Drosophila melanogaster: one gene and its partners. The protein of the gene in region 1 interacts with the protein of each later gene in a pairwise test. Each region holds a gene or a part of one and is shown on either strand. Other genes may lie near its edges.

Region 1 (5,585 bases):
ACATAAAGTTGTCTGCTATCACTGTATGCGTAGAAAAGAGCGGTTCGCTGTAGCGCTCTTCGCTCTCTCGCTCTCTAACAAAAATTCGAGAGAGCCTGGAGCCACCTCTAGAGCCACGGCCAAAAAATCGTGTGCCAAAAAATCGTATGGCGTTACGCATCTTGTTATTCTAGGGTCTTTGGCCAGGCCATCAGCCAGGGGGGGCAGATAGTAGAATTCCTCTTCCTACACTGGAAACTCTTAGTGAAAGCACCTATCAAACAGCTTATGTATTTGAAGCAGATCGATATAATTGGAGGCAGATTGACTAAGAGAATAAGAACAGTACATAGTGTAAATAAACAACGGGAAGTTACGTGATAGGCAGCAAATTATGAAATTTCTTGAACATTCCTTTTTGGTGCAGGGGGGTGTGTGTGTGTGTGTGTGTGTGTGTGTGTGTGTGTGTGTGTGTGTGTGTGTGTGTGTGTGTGTGTGTGTGTGTGTGTGTGTGTGTGTGTGTGTGTGTGTGTGTGTGTGTGTGTGTGTGGTTGGTGTGGTTATAAATATAATAATTAATGTTTTTCTCTCTATGTTCTAGAACTTAATTGCTTAAGGACGCTGCTGAAGGATACGCCGAACTCGTTAGAGGCGGACTGCCGAGAAAAGCTGCAGCGACGCATAGAGATGTTCAGGAACGCAGACGACACGTTGGCGCTTCCGCCCGAGGATGTGCAGCAGCTAGTGCAACAAGTCGTCGCCTCTCCGGCGCGGAAATTCTTCCTTGTGATACTAATGAGCGCCACGGGCCTGGTCTTCCTCACCGGCATCTTCCTGGGACGGGCCACCAAACGGGCAATGGGCTTAAAGAATAAATAATTGAAATATTAGACTGTAGTGGCACTGTGTAGGCGGAGTGTGCATGTTTGTGAGCTTGCTGATTTCCATTTCGGCCCATCCATGACCCCATTCCGAAACCCAGAAGTATACTTTCACTCAACCCTGTCTGCCTTTCGATATTTGTGTGAGCAATTTGTGGCTTAGTCGTTTGTAAGACCAAAAAATACGCGAGAAAGGAGAACACAATCAAATATACTAGTTCCATTCTTAGGGCTCTTTTCGTTATAGCTTTTTTGTAACAATTTCACTTGTATATTAAATTGTATTTTTGTAAACAAAAGCCCCTTCTTTTTAACTATATCCACATGGAAGGCATCAACAGATGTTTCTCTTTGGATCAATACCAGAGCGCTAATACGGCAGAGCGCCTAGTTTTGAGTACAAAAGTTAAGTAAAAACTTGGGATAGGCTTATCAATTTAATCAAATAGCCAAGGTAACTCAAAGTATAAAATTTAATATTATGTCCTTGTGGGCTTATGAGAATTAAAATTTGTGTTAATTGATTAAGCTTGACTCTAATTTGTACCCTAGACACGCCTTTGTTATTATTGATATTAGTAATTCTATTATTATCCTTTGTTTTACGTTAAAAATTACAATTTCAACGAACTGTAGCTCTACAGGTGTTTTGGTATATTTGCACAATGAGCTGCCTTTTTTTAGTATATGGGACCGGATGGTATGTTGAAAGAGCCCAACTGCGGTCACACTGCTCGCAAGTGAATTGGAACAAGGAGATTTTATTGCGTTAGAAAAGGTTCAAAATAGGCACAAAGTGCCTGAAAATATCGTAACTGACCGGAAGTAACATAACTTTAACCAAGTGCCTCGAAAAATAGATGTTTTTAAAAGCTCAAGAATGGTGATAACAGACGTCCAATAAGAATTTTCAAAGAGCCAAGTAAGCAAGACCAATTCATTCACATCACAGGCACCCACACAGATGCAGCCAAAACAGGTTCTATTAAAATAGCTCTGGCTACGTTAGCTACAGCTGCGTCCAAAATAGTAGCACTTTTGTTGGCAGCAGCAACGGTGTTTTATATTGCGTAAAATTCAATGATTTATTTTTTGAAAACATCAATATAATATATTATAATACATTTATTATTATTATTATTATTATCTACTATATAAATATATTTTGTGATAGAATTAACCACCTCATACCTCTCTTTTCGGCTCGTAATTCCTTTATTCTAGACACACTCCATATTTATCTCTTCTCTACTTTATATTGCAAGTAAAATTTAAATTACATATGTGAAGATGTTTGGGTTTCAGTTATTTATACAGCCGACGACTATTTTTTAGCCGCCTGCTGTGGCGACAATGGACGGCGTTAAGGTTGAGACGTTCATCAAAAGCGAAGGTGAGTCCAATCACCCGAGCCATGCCACCTTGGAGCCCATTCTAACGCGACTGTTGCCATTGCCCTCTGACCTTGCAGAAAACCGAGCGATGCCCTTGATCGGAGGAGGCAGTGCCTCAGGCGGCACTCCTCTGCCAGGAGGCGGCGTGGGAATGGGAGCCGGAGCATCCGCAACGTTGAGCGTGGAGCTGTGTTTGGTGTGCGGGGACCGCGCCTCCGGGCGGCACTACGGAGCCATAAGCTGCGAAGGCTGCAAGGGATTCTTCAAGCGCTCGATCCGGAAGCAGCTGGGCTACCAGTGTCGCGGGGCTATGAACTGCGAGGTCACCAAGCACCACAGGAATCGGTGCCAGTTCTGTCGACTACAGAAGTGCCTGGCCAGCGGCATGCGAAGTGATTGTAATTTTCGTTTAAGTCGTCGTCTCAAGCTATAACCAATCTCTGGCCTGGCCAGAGTCTACGTGCTCCAGCAGGCTTTAGCAGAATTGCATTGTAGAAATTAGGAGATATCATATATGTAGCATTTAACTCTGACAAGTAATGAAACGTTATCGATTCACAGGAACTCAGTTTCCCAGAGCTTAATCAAGAACTGGTTGGATGATCTCCAATTCGAATTGGACTCAAAGATAAATAGTCTAATCTAGAGAAAGTTCAATTTCAATTGAATTCAATTCAATTTTCGTCTGTGAAGTGCATTTTACACCAAGTAATCACGTGAATCTAATTGCATCCCAGTGTTTGCTTCTGTAACGTGAATATCCACTTCAGTAACTTGCACATCTTAAAACTGCAGCGGCGGAGGCACAAAAGATTCCCAGCCTGCACGAACATTAACCAATTCACCCACTTACTCACCATCACCTCGCTTTGAAAATCATCAAACCGCATCCTCACCTCACTTCTCGCTCTAATTAATTGCCTTCCGTTCTCATCAACTTTTGTTCACAGCTGTGCAGCACGAGAGGAAACCGATTGTGGACAGGAAGGAGGGGATCATCGCTGCTGCCGGTAGCTCATCCACTTCTGGCGGCGGTAATGGCTCGTCCACCTACCTATCCGGCAAGTCCGGCTATCAGCAGGGGCGTGGCAAGGGGCACAGTGTAAAGGCCGAATCCGCGGCCACGCCTCCAGTGCACAGCGCGCCAGCAACGGCCTTCAATTTGAATGAGAATATATTCCCGATGGGTTTGAATTTCGCAGAACTAACGCAGACATTGAGTAAGTTGAACTTTGATTTACATTCTGGTTGGTCATATATACTTAACTGCCATGATTGATCCATATTTAACTTCTTTTAAACGAATTCACCATTAATAATCTCCTATTGACTTTGCAGTGTTCGCTACCCAACAGCAGCAGCAACAACAGCAACAGCATCAACAGAGTGGTAGCTATTCGCCAGATATTCCGAAGGCAGATCCCGAGGATGACGAGGACGACTCAATGGACAACAGCAGCACGCTGTGCTTGCAGTTGCTCGCCAACAGCGCCAGCAACAACAACTCGCAGCACCTGAACTTTAATGCTGGGGAAGTACCCACCGCTCTGCCTACCACCTCGACAATGGGGCTTATTCAGAGTTCGCTGGACATGCGGGTCATCCACAAGGGACTGCAGATCCTGCAGCCCATCCAAAACCAACTGGAGCGAAATGGTAATCTGAGTGTGAAGCCCGAGTGCGATTCAGAGGCGGAGGACAGTGGCACCGAGGATGCCGTAGACGCGGAGCTGGAGCACATGGAACTAGACTTTGAGTGCGGTGGGAACCGAAGCGGTGGAAGCGATTTTGCTATCAATGAGGCGGTCTTTGAACAGGATCTTCTCACCGATGTGCAGTGTGCCTTTCATGTGCAACCGCCGACTTTGGTCCACTCGTATTTAAATATTCATTATGTGTGTGAGACGGGCTCGCGAATCATTTTTCTCACCATCCATACCCTTCGAAAGGTTCCAGTTTTCGAACAATTGGAAGCCCATACACAGGTGAAACTCCTGAGAGGAGTGTGGCCAGCATTAATGGCTATAGCTTTGGCGCAGTGTCAGGGTCAGCTTTCGGTGCCCACCATTATCGGGCAGTTTATTCAAAGCACTCGCCAGCTAGCGGATATCGATAAGATCGAACCGTTGAAGATCTCGAAGATGGCAAATCTCACCAGGACCCTGCACGACTTTGTCCAGGAGCTCCAGTCACTGGATGTTACTGATATGGAGTTTGGCTTGCTGCGTCTGATCTTGCTCTTCAATCCAACGCTCTTGCAGCAGCGCAAGGAGCGGTCGTTGCGAGGCTACGTCCGCAGAGTCCAACTCTACGCTCTGTCAAGTTTGAGAAGGCAGGGTGGCATCGGCGGCGGCGAGGAGCGCTTTAATGTTCTGGTGGCTCGCCTTCTTCCGCTCAGCAGCCTGGACGCAGAGGCCATGGAGGAGCTGTTCTTCGCCAACTTGGTGGGGCAGATGCAGATGGATGCTCTTATTCCGTTCATACTGATGACCAGCAACACCAGTGGACTGTAGGCGGAATTGAGAAGAACAGGGCGCAAGCAGATTCGCTAGACTGCCCAAAAGCAAGACTGAAGATGGACCAAGTGCGGGCAATACATGTAGCAACTAGGCAAATCCCATTAATTATATATTTAATATATACAATATATAGTTTAGGATACAATATTCTAACATAAAACCATGGGTTTATTGTTGTTCACAGATAAAATGGAATCGATTTCCCAATAAAAGCGAATATGTTTTTAAACAGAATGTTTGCATCAGAACTTTGAGATGTATACATTAGATTATTACAACACAACTTTGATCAAATGTTAATCTAATTTTTATTAAAGATGTGGATCTCATCCCACAGATTGGCAGAAAGCAGAATACAAAGTCAAGAAATGGCAACGTGTAGGGAACAATTTAAAGGCGGTCGTTATATTTTTATTTTTTGTATAAAAATAATTTGATTGTTTACTAAAGTAGATAGACGAACTGCAGCTAAATATGCATCCAGTCTTTACAACTTAATCTAAGCTAGAGCGAGGGATTACTGTTCCTCTTCGGGTACCTTTCTGGCGGGCTTGTGCTTCTCGTAAGCCTCATCGTTGAGTCCCTCCCGATTCCGGGCAATCTCGATGGCCAGAAACTGGACGCGAAACACGAAGATAGAGTTGTCCGGGGAGAATTCCCTGCTGGCATCGGCGCGCATCAGGGTGCCATACGAGTAATCGTCCAACTTGTTAAACTTCTCGGCGAACTGGCGCCACTTGAGCTTCGCCGTGGCGGATTTGAGAATATCATCGGTAAGCCGGCCAACGTGAAGATCGGGAAAATCCTGCCGG
Region 2 (4,877 bases), on another chromosome or scaffold:
TCATTTACTTGTGGCATGTAAACAACTAATCTGTTAACACTCCGGACAAAAGCGCGAACGATACATTAGCGTGTGCCCTGTCCGCGCCGAACACCGCCCACCTCCAAGCCATCCCCTCCTCCTCCTGGCTATTTCCGGATCCTGTCAAACACGGAGCATGATGAAGCACCAAGACCCGACAACCAACACTACTGACAGCGCCACAATAAAAACTTTTGCTCGTGAATATTTTGCCCCATTCGACGGGCATAATCAAAAGTTCCCTTTGCCAAAATGAAAACGTGATTTTCTCCTTGGTCATATATATGTGCATATAAATGGCGGATGAGAGGGCTGGAGGTTCGTCCTGGCACAAGGATATGGCTTACAGTGAGCGAGAGTAGGGGCTTCAGAAAGGGGGAAATGGCATGGGAAGAGAAGGGCAGAGGAAGGAGCGGCGGCAGAGGTTGCCAGACCACATGGTGTCAAACATTTTGCTACACTTATACAATATGCTTCACTTACCGTGATGCGAAATCAATGAAAAGCGGATCCAAGTTTCGACTAAGTTAGATCAGTTAATTTGTAACTTTTTTTTCGTATGTGCTACCTCTCTTAAGTTATGTTGTTAACAAATAAGCGAATTAGGTTTATAAGAAATATACAGATACAAAAGAAAGCGTTTTTAACAACATGACCTATAAATGTTACGGTTTATGAAAATCTACAAGGCCAAAATAAGCATTTACTGAAGTGCGTGTGTATAAACAACTTGATATATTGAAAAACATTCATATAACCGTGCGATCTTGACTCTGGCAATTCTTTCTTCCAACTTGTATCGTGCTTGTGATCAATGACTTGACAGAATATCTTTAGTAAATAAAGACCCTCGAATTTTCCACGGCATATAAACATAATCCAGCTGATCTCGCCCCACTGTGCGGCTGTGCTCGGCTGCCCGGCTGCTGCGTTCTGCCGGGTTGTTTTATTTGATTTCTTTATCAATATCTGAGCTGCCGTGCCTGCAGCTCACCCCCTCGGTGGCGTTACCCAGCCCTACTACTGCCGCCACAACGTTCGTAACCCCTATTCAACGAGCCGTTGTTATCCTGGAACTGGAACTGCAACAGTATTAGTTGCTGTGCACCAGTGTACGTGCGACTCTTATGTACGATTCATTTAAACGAGACCCATGAAGGCGATGCCACCACCGCATAAAGGAGAAAAGGAGACAGCTGTCGAGAGTGGCGCCATTGCATGGCCGTGTGCCAGAGCGAGACGTACGTACGTCAACGAGCAGTGACGACCACGCCCACCCCGTGGTAGTGGTGCCTATGGTATGGTGGTGCGTCGTAGTATCCGTATCCGCATCTGTTCGCGTATCTTTATCTGTGTGTGCGGCAAACTGGTTGTGGCCTGGTATTGGTGCCAACTCGTTTCTGTTTCCATATCTCGGCCCGTATCTGTGTCCGCAGCTGTATCTGTATCTGTAGCTGTATCTTTATCTGTATCCGTGTCTGCAGCTGGCAAGCAGTAGCAGTGGCAGCCGGAGAGCTGAGCCGAGCCGCCAGCCAGAGTATCTGTATCTGTGGCGCGTCATTGTTGTGCTGCTACTGCCGCTACTGCCGCTGCTGCTGCCTCTGCCGATTGAGCTCCATTGCCATAGCTTCTATAGCCTCTATAGCGTGTATAGCTTCTGTGCCGTTCCCGTCGCCTAGTGGGCAGCTCAGTTACAAGACCATTATTTGACGTATTTTTTGCGCGCTCGGTTGGCCGTTTGGTTGGTCGCTCTCTCGCTCGCTGGATCGTATCGCACCACACCGAACCGCATCGGTTATATCCATTGCCAAAGGCCCCCTTTATCGCCTCGATGTGGAGCAGCAGTTGCGCTCCGTTCGTGGTCCGGGCACGGGTATCGCATTCATGAGCTGGCTCATTGGCAATCATTTGGATTCGTACGCCAGTCGAACCGGTGGCCACCTCACACATCCAGACGGCCAGATGCCCTCGATCGCGCGTGCAAAGTGCTAACCCCAAACCAATCAGTAAAACCTTATCGAGGCGGACTGAATCGAGTCGGATCAAGCCACCCAAGTGCTAGTGAACACATCAAAAAAAAAAAAAAAAAAAACGAATAACAGCCAAGGAATTGAATTAGTGACTAAACCAGTGTAGTGCCCAGCAAGATTGCTTCGTTCCGGTGGAGAATAGTATGCCAATTTGTTCACAGTGGATTCAACGAATAAAATGGCCGTTGGACCGACGGAGGGCAAACAGCCGCCCTCAGAGAGCTTCTCGCCCACGCACCACCAGATTATAGCACCCAGCCCCATCCTGGCCGTTCCAACGCTGGCCTTCTCCGCCGCCCAGGTGGAGATCGTTTGCAAGACGCTCGAGGACTCCGGCGACATCGAGCGGTTGGCCCGCTTCCTCTGGAGCCTGCCGGTGGCCCTGCCCAACATGCACGAGATCCTCAACTGCGAGGCGGTGCTCCGTGCCCGCGCAGTGGTCGCCTACCATGTGGGCAACTTCAGGTAGGAATCCGCCACACACAAAAGCCCCCTGCTTGAATGACACTCTCTGGGAAGATCAGAAAACCAAAAACCAAAAAAAAAAACAGAAAACCAGTCAGCCAGAGTCCCAGCCTCCTGTCCTGATTAACCCCGACAACCGACATCCGATAGTTTTGCACAGCGACAGCTTAATGAGGGCACAATGAGCCGCTAAATTAATAAACAATGGCATTAATTTACTAATTAAAGAACTCGCTGCTGCCCAAAGCCAAGTGGAGCAGGCTTGATTAATAAAACACCGACCGAACAATAGGTTCCACGCCAGGATCGGGGTTTCGGCTTCCGTCGCCACGACATTCTAAGTTCTCACATTTCACGGGGGCTTCTAAGACAACCGGAAACAATTCGCTCGAATGGTGAATTTTGCAATAGGCCCTCGCAAACGATGACGAAAGATTAGCTTACCCATGGTATCTCCGAGATAGACTTAGCCTTGTGATCTTCGCCTAGACGAATCGGCCATTTGCCGCGTCTCGAAGTGGGCAAAACAGGTCCCCTGGCAATCGATATCGACAATTATCCGATCGGCTCAGGCAATCACAACTATAAACGGTTGCATCAGGTTTTGCATCTCATCTGACTGCAGCTCGAGCACACGGCCGTGTAATTCGAGTATAATCAATCAATGTCCAGATACAGTACATATATGGCCTGTTCGTGCATATACTCTTACGGATCTGGCGATGCTATGCAAGTGATTTGATTGCTTTGACTTGGTAAATAAACGACTTCCAATTAAAACCATTTGACGTACTCAACCGAGCTGTCAGCACCAGTGACGACAATAAATGCTTATGAAATTGTTTCAAAATACATATGGACGCCTGTCGAGCGTCGAGTGTCGAGGGGTGTAGAAACTCGGAGGCGGGGATGGCTTTCGCAGCGGGAAGTCCCAAGTGTCCCAAAAGTCCAAAGGACCCAGGGGTGGTTGATGGGGTTGAAATCGTGATGGCAAATTCAGCGCATTAACTTTAAGCTCAACTCCGGATACTAACACTCACACTGGACCACCTCTTTTCAGGGAACTTTATGCAATAATAGAGAATCATAAGTTTACTAAGGCGTCCTACGGCAAACTGCAGGCCATGTGGCTGGAGGCCCACTACATTGAGGCCGAGAAGCTGCGCGGTCGATCACTGGGTGAGTAAGGCATTCACTTCCAAGATAGATGTCGTGATAAAATGCTGAAAAAAATATGAGGGAATTTCAAACACAAACGTAGAAATACAAGTTTAAGTTTTACTATAACACCACGAAATGTTTTCATTAAGCATATTGATTACACATATTTGTTATTTCAAATGCATTGAAAAGCGGTCGAATAAATACTAAACGTGTTTTAGAAAATCCGATCATAGTAATAAGAAGGATTAACAGATTATTTATAATTCTAATTGTATTATTGACTCAGTTAAATGACTAAAACAGAGCTTACTTTAAATTCGATACTTAAAAAGTCGTCACTGAACATCGATTCAAAGTGTTTGAACAATTTTTGATATTTAGCTAATTCTCTAACTGTATGTATTGGGTATAGACCAGTTTTTCAGTGCTTAATTATGTAATGATTATGTAATAACATATTCAGAAATTTACGCTCGTATATTTTACTTTAAGATGTTCAAACCAGTTTTACAAATATTTTTCATAATTGTTACTTGTAATATTTCTTTGATATTTTACGATGATATTTACAATCCAAGTAACAAATAAAGCAATACAATTGTTTTTGAATATATAATAGACACACTTTAAACTCGCTGTTTAAAACGATCCTTTTAGAAAAAACTTGAATGAAATCGAATAATCAGTACACAAATAGTTGATGTAAAAAAATCTCTAATGAATTGTAGCAATCAAGACAATTGTTTTTAGAGCGAGGAGTTTCAAACTCCCTAATGAAAATTTCAGAAAGCTATTGCCAGCATTTGTTCAAACAAAACTACTGTAAAATTAGACAAAAATTAAAATTATTTTAATTAATCCAATTGCAATTGAAACTTGCAGGCCCCGTGGACAAGTATCGGGTGCGAAAGAAGTTCCCCCTGCCGCCGACGATCTGGGATGGCGAGCAGAAGACGCACTGCTTCAAGGAGCGCACGCGGAGCCTACTGCGCGAATGGTACCTACAGGATCCCTACCCGAATCCCACCAAGAAGCGGGAGCTGGCCAAGGCCACCGGCCTGAATCCCACGCAAGTGGGCAACTGGTTCAAGAACCGCCGCCAGCGGGATCGGGCTGCTGCGGCCAAGAATCGGTAAGTTATCGACCATGGACCGCTTCAATTAGCCATTGGAGTTGGGAGTTAGACGGGTCTGGGGT
Region 3 (7,208 bases), on another chromosome or scaffold:
TTTCGATCGAAGGCATATGCTCCGATTTGGCAGACCTTCAGTAACTTAATTCGCCTAAATGGCTCATTGGCCATTCAATTGGCCCAAGATTGGTTGTCGCAGTCGGGAAAACAGCAGCACACTCCCAACGAGGTGAAAATGGATCCACAGCTGCTGGACGGACTGATTAGCACCCACTGGCCCGGTCGGTGCCAGCTAATCGAATGGCACGGGATGCGATTACATCTGGACGGAGCTCACACTCTGGAAAGCATGGAAGTGTGCACGGACTGGTTTGAAAAAAACGTGCGAGACAGGTGAGCGGAGTAGGAGGAGATGGTCCTATAATACATAACTGATTCGATTGACTTCCTCATTTGCAGTGTCAATCCAAAGATTCTGATCTTTAATCGCACCGGAGAATCCGGTTTCGCACCTCTGCTAAAGCTACTCAACCGCACCTGTGACTTTGACATGGTCTGCTTTGTGCCCAATTTGGCCACCTCAACGCCAAATGCTCCCAGCCAGGTGATGGTTCGTTTTAGTCCCGAAATGCAATTGAATCGGGCGAGGATCATTGCCTCAGCTTGGAGTGACCTCTGCGCAACGGAGCAAAAAAAAGATGTGGGTCAGGTGTATAATACGCTAACCGACGCTTTTACTGCCATCAGGCAAAGATTTCCACAAGCCACAGACAATGAGGGACAACTAGAGGTCCTCGTCACCGGTTCCATTCATCTGCTGGGAGCAGCTATAAGTGCCCTAGATCTTATCGATGATCCCAAATCTAGAACTGATAAATAAGACACATTCCTAACCAGGAGAACCGGCTGAAACACTGGGATTGCTATTAGATTAGCTATTAGATTTAGAAGTCGAAGCAAGCCACTTGCATATCACTTAGTGGAACTTTAACATGAATCGCTGAAAGCATCAGCTAATAAATGTAGTTGTAGTTAATAATAAAACAATATTTGAAATATTGTGTAGAAATAATAACCCTATGAAGTGTTTTATGCCCATTTTTAGTTAGCAGCAAACTTATGATTAATGGAATAAAAGTTTGCATATATAGTGTGTATGCCACAATACTTACTCACTAAATATTCAAAATGGGTGATTTTAAATCCTTACGGACATCGAACAGAGTTGCCAACTCGCCGACGGTGTTTCGTTGATTTCTGGTCCTTTTACCTTTTTACATACCACTTTGGTGCGTTTTAGAGCTCGTAACTCGTGCGACTGACGCAGATTTCAAAGGCGACATTAGACTGGGCCAAGGAAATGCGAGAGCTTTAAGGGTTGCTTTTTTCCCCGGGCCATTTAGGGGTGGCCCAGAATGACAGCCAATGGCGCGGCGGCAACCCTGGGCGAAGAGAGAGACAGCAAGCTGTTGTCCACCTGCTCTCCCACCGGGCTAACGGCAAACAAAATGGCTAACGGGACAGCGGAAGTCGGTGAGCGAGCGGGATGGCATGCTGCTGTTTTGTTGATGCTGTGTGTCTAAGGCAACTGATTAAATAACGGTTAAATGGCAGCGGCCATTGCGAAAGTTTCCTTTTTGTAGCTACATTTTTTTTCACTCATTTTGCTGTTGTTGTTGCTGGACTTTTCCTCTGCAAACGTCGACGTCGACGTGGGCGCTAAACTGTCCCGTTTACAGCAACAAATCCGCGTAATTCACTTGTGTGTGTGTGTGTGTGAGGGGTGAATCCTGGCGATGTTCGCTAAAAGGATTAATAAACGTTCGACGTTTCGCATTTCAGTTGTTCATTTGACTCGGCGCTTAGCGGTTCAGTTACAGTTACTTTCTGTCCGTCTGTCTGTGTGAATGTGTGTGTGCGTGTTTCGTACTGGAAAATTCGATTACGCGTAGAACAGATCGAAGGCGCAATTATAATCGCTAAATTTGCACAGCACTGCCGTCGGCCAAACGCCAAAGGATAAAATAAAAAGGGATCATCAAATAAAAGCCTTCAAAGCCACTTAACAAATAAACAAGGACAACGGATTAATTTTTGTTATTGTTGCAACGGGATTTCTAGTGCAAAATGTTTCAAATGTGCCAGTTACTTTGAAAATCTGATCTAAAACAAACACACTTAAGCACCGCTTTTGCCATAAGGACTGCAGATCCATCAAAATGCAGAGCTCAAAATCTTTTTTAATACGCGATCTTCTGGGCGATTTGATTAATCGACGACAAACAGATTCGGGTAAGTTTTGAAAATATTTTGTACCATTTAAGTCCTTTGAGGTATATCATTTACCATATTTATCGACTATATGATATATCTATGAAACCATAACAATTCTGCTACTATAACAAGTATCAAAATAAATATATTCCTTTATTGATAATAATTTGTTTCCTTAACTAGATATTATTTGTAAAAAGGAATATCTAGTTTATATCAGTTCTCTGCTAATAATAGATATATTTTTCAAAACAAACAATTTCGTAGCTCCATACTAATTGTAAATAACAAGACTTCCATGTAATTAAATATAACCTATCATTTTGCATACACCCACACATGTGAAATAAACATACATAATATAAACGCCTTTTTTGGCCAATTAGCCTGCTCATTGTTCCAATCTCCCGTTCTTTGATGTTTTGCTGTTGGCTGAGGGGTAAATAAGGGGAGTTTTTGGCTAAAACCACTGACAAATTGCCTTGCTCACTCTCTTTTGACGCCCCCAATTCTGTCATCTGTTTTTTTTTTTTCACCCGCCTGTGGCATTTAAATCTCACACTTTGCTCAATTATCGCAAAAACAAAAACTTTTAGCGGTGTGAGTGAGATGGCGATGAGAGCGAGTGGGATGGCTAGACAGCGGGTGAGCGAGAGGGGTTGAGTGGAAACAACAAAAACCACAGCTTCAGGCAGTAATTTATTTGTGCACTGCTTGCTTGCACCGAAAAATATTATTTTTCAATACGATATCTTGATTTTGTTTTATATTTATATATATCAAAAAATATGTTAGCTTCTGGAAAATTTAAGATTTCAATAGATTTGCTAATTATTGTCATTTTCCATATATTTTTTGATATACTTTATAGCCATATTTTCTGACTGTGTGAGTTTGGCAGTTAATAGTATTTTTGTTGCTGTTGACACTGCTTTATTCGTAACCTGCGCTCAAGCAATTTGTCACGTACGAGCACTTTAATTGTTTTTAGCCAGGGGATCGGAAACCGAAAGGGAAAATGTCGTGGTGGATGCGAATGCAAATGGGACTGAAAACTCAGTCATGACAAATGCTTTTGCATCCTCGCACAAGTACACAGAACAAATCGAATCGTGATCTTTACTAGTGTTAACTTTGAGTCAAGAAAATATAATAACACAAAAGTCATCTTCAAGTACTAAAGAAAAAATAAATTATTAAGGATATATATATAAAAAATATGCATAGATTAATATACTCATTCCACATTCGATTTAAATGGCTCTTTACATTTTTTCGCAGTGTACCGCCTGCGGTGCCCGCTTACGTATGCTTTGTTTTTTGGTTGGTTTGTGCCAACTGCATGTGTTATCCTCTAATTAGGCATGACATTAAATAAAGTTTAGCTCAACAATTACAACTATTTAGAGGCTAATTGCTGTCAGTTAGAGAGGATGAAAATGAAACTTTCACTGCAAGTATACCTTACGTTTCGATTTTGCCTAAAATCAATGCTAGTAACGGCATGGATAAATAAAAAAAAAAAGAAATTTGTATATTATTAGGACACACATACGTTATTCCAATGTCCAAATTGCCGGCACATGCGAGCCCATTTCACCCACTTTCTCCATCCAATACGACAAGTCACCGGCTTTCGCCTGTCTTCAATCTTCAGATGTGTGTCTCACAGTTCAAGTGCCTATTAAATGGCAATTGTGCCGCAAATTGATACGACGTGACTTTTCGAGAAAAATGAAAGAACTCACTCGAGACGCTCCCCAGGATATCCACACATAATTGAATATCCCCTCACATGCATAGACATATGTACAATACATATGTATATCCACCATCTACCCTTCCGTCCTGTCTGCGCAAATCGTTATAAATGGAATCAGATGTCGAAACCCATTTGGGGTTAAAATACACAAATATAAAAATAATTTCCGCCCGTTCAGTTGGCACTCCAGAAAGTGGGCAGAAAACATAGAAGAATCCTTGCTGGGCGAACACACGTGAGCGCCTGTGGCGAATCGAAAATTATGTTCTTCTAAAAAGTTGAGTGTTAAGTAAGCGCCACTGGGCAAAAAAATTGAGAAATTGTATTCATAATGTGCAAAAGTTGGTCGAGTGTTAAAAGGTTTCTATTTTTTTCCAATATAACTCTGGTTTTTATAAATAGAAAATAAATATATAAATGGCATTGAAAACGTATTTTATTCCGATATAAATAGTACGAAAAAGTTTTCTTTTGATTTTGTTTAAGAAAGTAAGTAAGTACTTGTAAGCGAAATATTTCTCTCAGTGCAGCGTGGAGCAGACCATGTAAATTCCAATAGGAAAAACAATTGAGAGCTCGTCGACACGTGAATTTAATCAGGCAGCCCGCAGCGTGCGATTTTCGAGTCCGGATTCGAGTCCGATTTGGGATTGTGTTCAGGATGCGATGTATGTATGTGCGACGGATATAAATAACATGTTGATTGCTGCAAATTGCAACTCATCCGATTCGCCGCCCCATCATCCAAACGGACCAACGCCCACTTGATTCTCCCATCCGATTTGATAGCACTTCATCCAATGCGATTGTCTATTGCATTGTGTGGTGTGGTGTGGTGTAGCAATGGGTTTCCCAGGTCGCTTCTCGACCGGAAGTGGTTGCACGCGCGAAAAGAAGAGGTTGAACGCATTAGTGCCACGCTGCGCCTGAAAACAGGCAACAGTGTCTTAAAGTCGGTATCTTTATACCGGCGTCCACTTGACACTCGGCCTGCACTCTGCACTCCAATTGAATCCACGAGTCGTGGTCAATCAAATTTTGAAAATTTTTAAATGAGTAGAAAGCCTATTGTTTGCATATAAAAACAGGATGTCTTTGGGATAATCTAACAAGTGCAACTACATTTTAATAATCCTCCCTTTGATTTCCTATTTCCAGAACTGGAGCTCTCCAACGACGATTCGGATATAGACATTGAGGATCGATCTACGCCGGACTCGACGGCTGCGGGCTGCCAGCAGGAGCTACTGCTGTCGCACCATCACCGCAGATTCACCCACCACGACGAATCCAGTGTGGAGTCCTGCCTATCGGCCACAAGGGGCCCCGGCTCTGGCACAGGATCGGGTGGTGGCGGAGGTGGTGGTGGTGGAGGAGGAGTAGCCAGCGGACTGAGCGCCGCTGCAGCGGCGGCGGGCGTGGCTGCTGGACTCCTGGCAGCGGCGGCCAGTGGTGCCAATGGGGATCGGGATGCCAACGGTGGCAGTGGCCCGGGATCCGGTGGCGGTACAAGTGGCGGCTATGCGGAGCACAAGCTGCAGCTGAGCAAAAGTGGCCGGAAGCCGCGACGCCGCCGAACCGCCTTCACCCACGCCCAGCTCGCCTACTTGGAGCGGAAGTTCCGGTGCCAGAAGTACCTGAGCGTGGCCGATCGCAGCGATGTGGCCGAAACGCTCAATCTGTCCGAGACGCAGGTGAAAACCTGGTACCAGAATCGCCGGTGAGTGTTGATCGAGAGCAAATCCCCAAGTTGGAAAGGAGCCACTTTATTAATTGCTTTTTAAATTAAAACGATAATGGATAATGAAACAATAAGTTTTGATTAGAAAAGAATCAAATATCTTCCATTCGCGGATAGAATAATGAACTATTTGATTTTGTTTCACTATTTTAAATTGCAGTAAGTACAGTTGCGCTCATAGTGCTTCAACCGATCGCAAACGTCTGGCAACGCAAAACCTTGTATTTTGCGCAGTACAAATTGTATTTTTAAGTATATACATATTAATATTAATAATGGCTTGTTATTATAGTTTACCAAAGCCAATTTTATGTTGAGTAAGATTACTAAAAAAATATAGAATTTATTGGTACAATCACGCTAAAGTGATCCCATATTCAATTCTAACCGTGTGGCAACGATTGTAAGCGCTTCATTTGCCTTTTCCATTGCAGGACCAAATGGAAGCGACAGAATCAACTGCGTCTGGAGCAGCTGCGTCATCAGGCGACCATGGAGAAGGATTTTGTGGTCCAGGATGGCGGCGGTGCGGGCGGACTCGGCTGCTGTCCCAGCGGACTGAGCAGTTCTTTTAGTGCCGCCGCCGCTGCTGCAGCGGCTGCCAGCAATCCTTGCAATTTTCTCACTTCCGCCGCAGCGGCGGCCATTTTCCGTAATGTCGGCTATGTCCACGGATGTCCCATGTAGGAGCCACGCCCCAAACTCTCCCATAATACCATTTTCCCCAGCTGCCTGTGTATATAATGCGTATGAAGAAAACCGTTTTTGTGCAATAACCGATCGGGACAAATTAATGAAAGTCAAGCGATGTGCTGATATTTACCAAGCATACCCGATATTATTATTATAATACGTACTTAACAATATAATCATAAAAATAAGCGTAGTCGAATTAATTAATTGTATTATAAAACTAAAAAATTTTTTTTTTCACATCGCACTCTATGGAATTTTTTTTTGGCCAGAATAAACATTCAATTGCAAGTCTTTAAGCGTTTTCACTTGGGAGGTGATCTAATTGAAATTAATTATAAAAAAACTTAATCAAAGCTAACTAGTATAAATAATAGGTCTTATTTACTTTACTGGTTTTGTTACAGAATTAAGCTCCATTTGCGAATAACAAATCAAACGTTCAACTTCCGATAAATTTGAGAAACGATAATGATCGATCACTAAAATCGATCGTTACCGATTGTTCAATTTTACCAAAAGTCTTTTATACATGTGCTGTGTTGGCTGCAATTTAATATTTAATAATTCACAAAGGAATCGAATGCAACGTATCGGTTAAATGCCGCTCGCCCATCTGCGTATCTGCAAATCGGTGAGCTGTGAGTCATGCTTGAAAATCAACTTGAGCGAATCGCACAAAACGATATCAATTTGTCGCTATATAGCAAATAGCCCGCGACATATGCCCACCCAACGGGCAGGATATCGCGTCTACAGCTACATATGTATATAGATCCACTCTATATATATTATTTGCATGGAGCTGTGAGAGAGAGGGCGATATAGAGTGAGA
Region 4 (4,861 bases), on another chromosome or scaffold:
ATCCCGAGGTGTCAGCCGCCATTCAGGTTCGTGAATACTACTTTTCTATTTCTAATACAAATGCAGTAATCATATCGTTGTTATTTATTAACTTTCGTAGGACATTTTGTCAAATCCGGGTAACATCACAAAGTACGCGTCGAACCCGAAGATATACAACCTTATCAAGAAGATTGTGCCCGGTGGAGATGTGGGTGCTGCCTTTGGCCAAGCGGGTGAAAAGGCTGGAAAGCCGAGCGAGCCTAAGCCTAAAAAGGATTCCGCCGACTTCGTCGATGACGGTTTGGACTAAGGTTTAGAAATGGGGCAGTAGTAAGACTGAAACATGCGTCGATAAAAAGAAGTTAACAAACAATTACACGAAATCGAGCGAGATTACAAAACAACAAAGAAAGAGAAAGCAACAGAGTGCGGGGAAGAAGATGGACTACACGAAAAACAAAAGGGAAAGCAACTGCCTTACACATTTTTGCAGCTGGGAAAAAACAAACATTTCCTAAGCTTTAACTTAACCAACACGTAAAAGAACGGGCGACAATGGAGAAAATTCAAATATTCAAAATACTACAAGCAGTCAGAAGAATAAGCAACATTTATTTAAATCGAGAAGAAAGAGATGTTGGAGATGCTGGAGACGCTTCTTCACATATTATTGAAAAGCATACTTGCGGCCATTAAAGTGGCAAATGAAACTATACAAAGGAGCTAGAATATGCTTAAAAACTTCACATTTGCAGTTCACAGGTAAATCAAAAGATTGTCCTGTAACGAACAAAACATGAATGTTTAGACGTCAAGTCAGATTCAAGGGTGCCGATCGATCTAGTTGAACTAAAGCTCGAGAAACAACCAAAAGAAAATAAAAAATATATATATGTTCAATAATATTAGCCTAAATTACCGAGAACGAAGAAACGGATAAAACTAATCGCATCATTTGGTCAAACAAAATTGTACTGAGTAGGATTTAAATCATATTGTATGCAAATGCATTTAGCCCCCCAACATGAAAGCAATCGCCCATTCATTCACACACTCATTCACACACTCATTCACACACTCATTCAACCAGTGATCAATGGAAATAAATAAACGAATCAACAAGAACCCGAATTGCTAATGTCCATATTTTTTGGTAAACGGGTAAAAGGGGAGATACTTTTGCTTTTTTTTCGAGCGGGTTGAACAGATGGAGCCGTAGTCCCTTAAACTATCCGGCGCATCACCTGTGTGGGTTGCTCACTTTGTATGAAGTACATTGGGTACGCATGGTGTATGAAAGCGTCGATTAGACGCTTCAATGGCTGCACCCTGCACCCTGGATCCAGAACCTATCTACCGCACCCCGCCCCATGTCAGCGCGAAATTGGCTAACGGACAGCTTGGCGCACATGTTCGATTATGGCCAAATCGAGCGACCAAGCAGAACCAGCGGCACATGACCTGGGCTCAGCGATGCCAAGACCTGGGTGGTTGTACCTAGAGGTACTTGATTGCTTTTTAAACTCAGCTTGGTACAGCGTACACGACTGATTATTTAGAAGCTATGACAGCTTTCTTTGCTTTGATATTTTTCATATTTATATATAAATTATAAATATATATTTATAAGCAGGTGATATGGTTGAAACATATATCAACGAATATGTCAAATATAATACAGTGAAGTGTCTGCATTATTTTATTGTACCTGCGCCATCACAGGTACGGCTCCTCTTTCCATCGACTGCAGACGTACCGCTTATGTGCATGACTGGGTGTCCGGGGTGGTGGATGTGAATGTGGATGAGTGGCAGGAGGGCGCAGGCGCAGCTCAGCCCAACAGCCAAGTTGGTCTGGACTCCTGGCGGCCCATCGCATTCCGTGGCCAGTCGCAGCGCGAGACGGTTAGCCAGTTAGCCAGTGCGGACCGACTAATTCCCAATTTCCGCTCTTGACTAAACTAAAGATTGAGAAATAAAGAAAGAAATATCCTTCGTCCGTCCCCCAGACGAAGCAGGTCAATTTTTTTTTCGTGTTACTTGCTCTTTTTCGCCAAGTGTGAGTTGTGTGTTTTGGCTTGGCTAACGTGATTGAAATCGAGACAGCCGGGACATCATGATTGTCAACATGCCCGTCAATGGAACGGGCAGTGCATCCAGCCCAACATCGAATCCCAGCAGCAACAACAACAACAATAGCAGTACCACCAATCAAAATGATACGAACACTAATCTTCCCGGTGATTACAACTTTCTTAAGCGCAAGTTCGACGATCAGGAGGATTTGGCTTTGGGCCACGACTACGAGCCCATCGGGGCAAATCCCTGGAAGAAGCGACACTTGGACTACGATGCCGGGGACCTGCACTTCCACCTGCAGCTGGAACAGCCACCTAGTAATCCGCCAACCAACGCTGCACCCGCCCAATCCTCGACGTCCTTCATCAACGATCTCTTTTCCTATGAGAGCAGTCTTCTGGTGCCCGCCGTCGCCTATTCGCACTGTCCACCATCGAGTGCTCCATTGGATGACAATGGTGGTTGGACCGGTGGCGAGCTGCTGGAGCTGGATCATCGTTATAACTCCGGCCTGCAGGCGGAACTGGGGCAATTGAATGCCACTTTGCCGCCGCCACCACCAACATCATCATCAGCTCAAAATGCATCCAATCATACGCAGCAGTCAACACAACAGAATGTCAGTCCTGGTCAGAACCCACATCAGAATCAACATTTTCTGGTGCCGCAGAAGCAGCGGATACAGTCGGCGGGCCGACGCACCTCATCCGGTTCGGTTAGTGGGGCCAATGAAGCCACCGAGGCGGACTTCGAGGATAAGAACCTCTCGTGGCTGCTCAACTTTAAGTTCGACGAGTTCCCGCACCTATCGCCGCACAATCAGATTCACGGACAGGCGGTCAATCTGCCGGAGGGCAGTGCTCCACCTCATCCACCATCGACGGCAGTGCCGATCGCCACGTCGCCCTGCAGTTCCTCCTCGCCATCATCCGCCTCCGCCGCATCGGCATCCGCATCCGCCATAAGCACAAATCAATCTCTCGGATCGGGTTTGGTGGATCAACGGGCCAGATCGCCCAAGAGTTGCTCCAGTGCAGCGATGCCAGCGGCATTAGGAGGAGGAGGCAACGGCTCCGCTGGCGCTTCAGCAGCGGGGGGCGTGGCCGGCGTGGGCTCCACCAAGACTGGGCGCAAGTTCGAGGAGCTGGTGATGGAGGTCACCTCGGAGTTGGACGGTAACGACATGATAGTTGCCGAGCACGTTGTCGTCGAGGATACTTCGTCCAAGGCGTAAGTGTTGCAGAAATAAAACAATATGACAGTGTCAACGGTTAAATTCTATATTTCCTAATTTATTTGAAACATCTATTTATTCCCGTTACTCATAGAGGAAAAGGGTATACTAGATTCGTTGAAGTATATATAAAATTTGTTGATCAGGATCAATTTTTAAATTTTTTTCTCATTTTATTCCCCAATATCTATCGACATCCCAGAAAGATGATTAAATTTCGCGTTCGCATTCACACTAGCTGAGTAACGGGTATCTGATAGTCGGGTAACTCGACTATAGCATTCTCTCTTTTGTTTTAATATATTTAACAATCTTTTTCTCTGATTTGTGCGTTCTCCATTTGCTTTCAATGCCGTCCTCCAATCGATGCCGCCAACGAATTTCCCCAACCACGCAATCGCCGATCCACTAAACCACCGAACCACCCACCAATGTGGCTGAAATCCAAAACCAACCACCGCAAAACAAGCAGGCCAAAGAAACCACCGTTCACCTACACGGAGCTCATCGAATACGCCCTCGAGGATAAGGGTGAGCTGACTGTGTCGGGCATATACCAATGGATATCGTAAGTACTGTCCCCCATCGAACCACCCACTGAATCAACCACCACCGCCCACCGCCCACCGCCCATTCGGATGGACGCCATTTTGTGGAGTGCTAGCCATCCTGTTATTTTTTTTGATGGCAAAAAACGCCAGCCAGGATGCAATTAAACAAATCTCAAGCATTTCGTTTTGGCCATTCCCGTTGGCCATTTGATTTCCTCGTTCGCTGGGTATTTCTTCTTACCATGTTTTCGTTCCTTGGTTGGTAACCAAACTTAAACAAAGTGCCACACACCGGCAAACAAACGATAGCGGCCACAATGAAAGTGCCAAAAGTTAGCAGCTCAAACAGATTTATGGGCTAGAAAATTGCATTTACCTTGCCTTCGCTCGCATAAGGTGAAAAACAAAAATGTTGTTAACCAAACTATTTGCGGGTTGTTCAACAAGTTGTTTATGCCAAACTGGTATTCCCTGGTATTATCAGCTTATACGGATAGCGACCCATTAATTTTGGCTTTTGGATTGTTTAGTGGCAATTGTTGAGTATACCAAATTCTTAGTTTTATGGTGATAAGTGCTTAATACGGCTCATTCCGTATTAGTTAATCATTCAATAGTATTCAAAACTAGTTAATCATTACCTACTTTTCGCAAAACGTTAAAATTTTCAAAATTCCATTTTTACCACGCTGAGTTCGAAAATATCAATTCGTCAAGAATCGCTGACGAAGAAAACAATAAGTTTTAACACATTTTTCAAGGTTCATCAATTTGGCCTTTCGCCCCCACTGCTCCCCACCTGTTTTTTGTTATTCATTTCTTTTGTTGTCTTCGAATACCCGGAATCAGTGTAAATATTTGATGCCGCAGCCGCGAATGTTGCGTGTAAATATCCTATATAAATTTACATATAAAACCACCCCGCTCGGGAGGGGGAGGCAAATAATTTATGACATTTGCCCATCACCTGCGCACCTGCACTCCTCACCACCCCCCCGCATTTAATGTAATGAATC

Evidence for each region.
Region 2: the proteins of Hr78 (region 1) and Optix interact in a two-hybrid assay, tested with the Drosophila melanogaster proteins (one large-scale study listed by BioGRID).
Region 3: the proteins of Hr78 (region 1) and CG11085 interact in a two-hybrid assay, tested with the Drosophila melanogaster proteins (one large-scale study listed by BioGRID).
Region 4: the proteins of Hr78 (region 1) and fd3F interact in a two-hybrid assay, tested with the Drosophila melanogaster proteins (one large-scale study listed by BioGRID).

Annotation. Positions count from the first base shown.
Region 1 is NT_037436.4:21,493,488-21,499,072, reverse strand, and holds Hr78 (Hormone-receptor-like in 78), read left to right. Parts: upstream 1-1,578; 5' UTR 1,579-1,782; intron 1,783-1,889; exon of another isoform or gene 1,890-1,930; intron 1,931-2,051; exon of another isoform or gene 2,052-2,165; 5' UTR 2,166-2,213; coding exon 2,214-2,253; exon of another isoform or gene 2,254-2,331; coding exon 2,332-2,652; exon of another isoform or gene 2,653-2,680; intron 2,681-3,204; coding exon 3,205-3,474; intron 3,475-3,592; coding exon 3,593-4,767; 3' UTR 4,768-5,054; downstream 5,055-5,585. Other genes in the region: Glg1 (golgi complex-localized glycoprotein 1), read left to right, coding at 581-858; CG7519 (uncharacterized protein), read right to left, coding at 5,291-5,585.
Region 2 is NT_033778.4:8,029,729-8,034,605, forward strand, and holds the start of Optix (optix), read left to right. Parts: upstream 1-1,864; 5' UTR 1,865-2,229; coding exon 2,230-2,516; intron 2,517-3,576; coding exon 3,577-3,695; intron 3,696-4,562; coding exon 4,563-4,812; intron 4,813-4,877. UniProt on the Drosophila melanogaster protein: May be involved in head or eye development; development of the clypeolabrum and several head sensory organs.
Region 3 is NC_004354.4:12,614,555-12,621,762, forward strand, and holds CG11085 (uncharacterized protein), read left to right. Parts: upstream 1-1,761; 5' UTR 1,762-2,122; coding exon 2,123-2,195; intron 2,196-5,097; coding exon 5,098-5,659; intron 5,660-6,114; coding exon 6,115-6,367; 3' UTR 6,368-6,662; downstream 6,663-7,208. Other genes in the region: Fpgs1 (folylpolyglutamate synthase 1), read left to right, coding at 1-296, 363-783.
Region 4 is NC_004354.4:3,800,460-3,805,320, forward strand, and holds the start of fd3F (forkhead domain 3F), read left to right. Parts: upstream 1-1,856; 5' UTR 1,857-2,097; coding exon 2,098-3,290; intron 3,291-3,766; coding exon 3,767-3,862; intron 3,863-4,861. Other genes in the region: HIP (Hsc/Hsp70-interacting protein), read left to right, coding at 1-26, 101-292.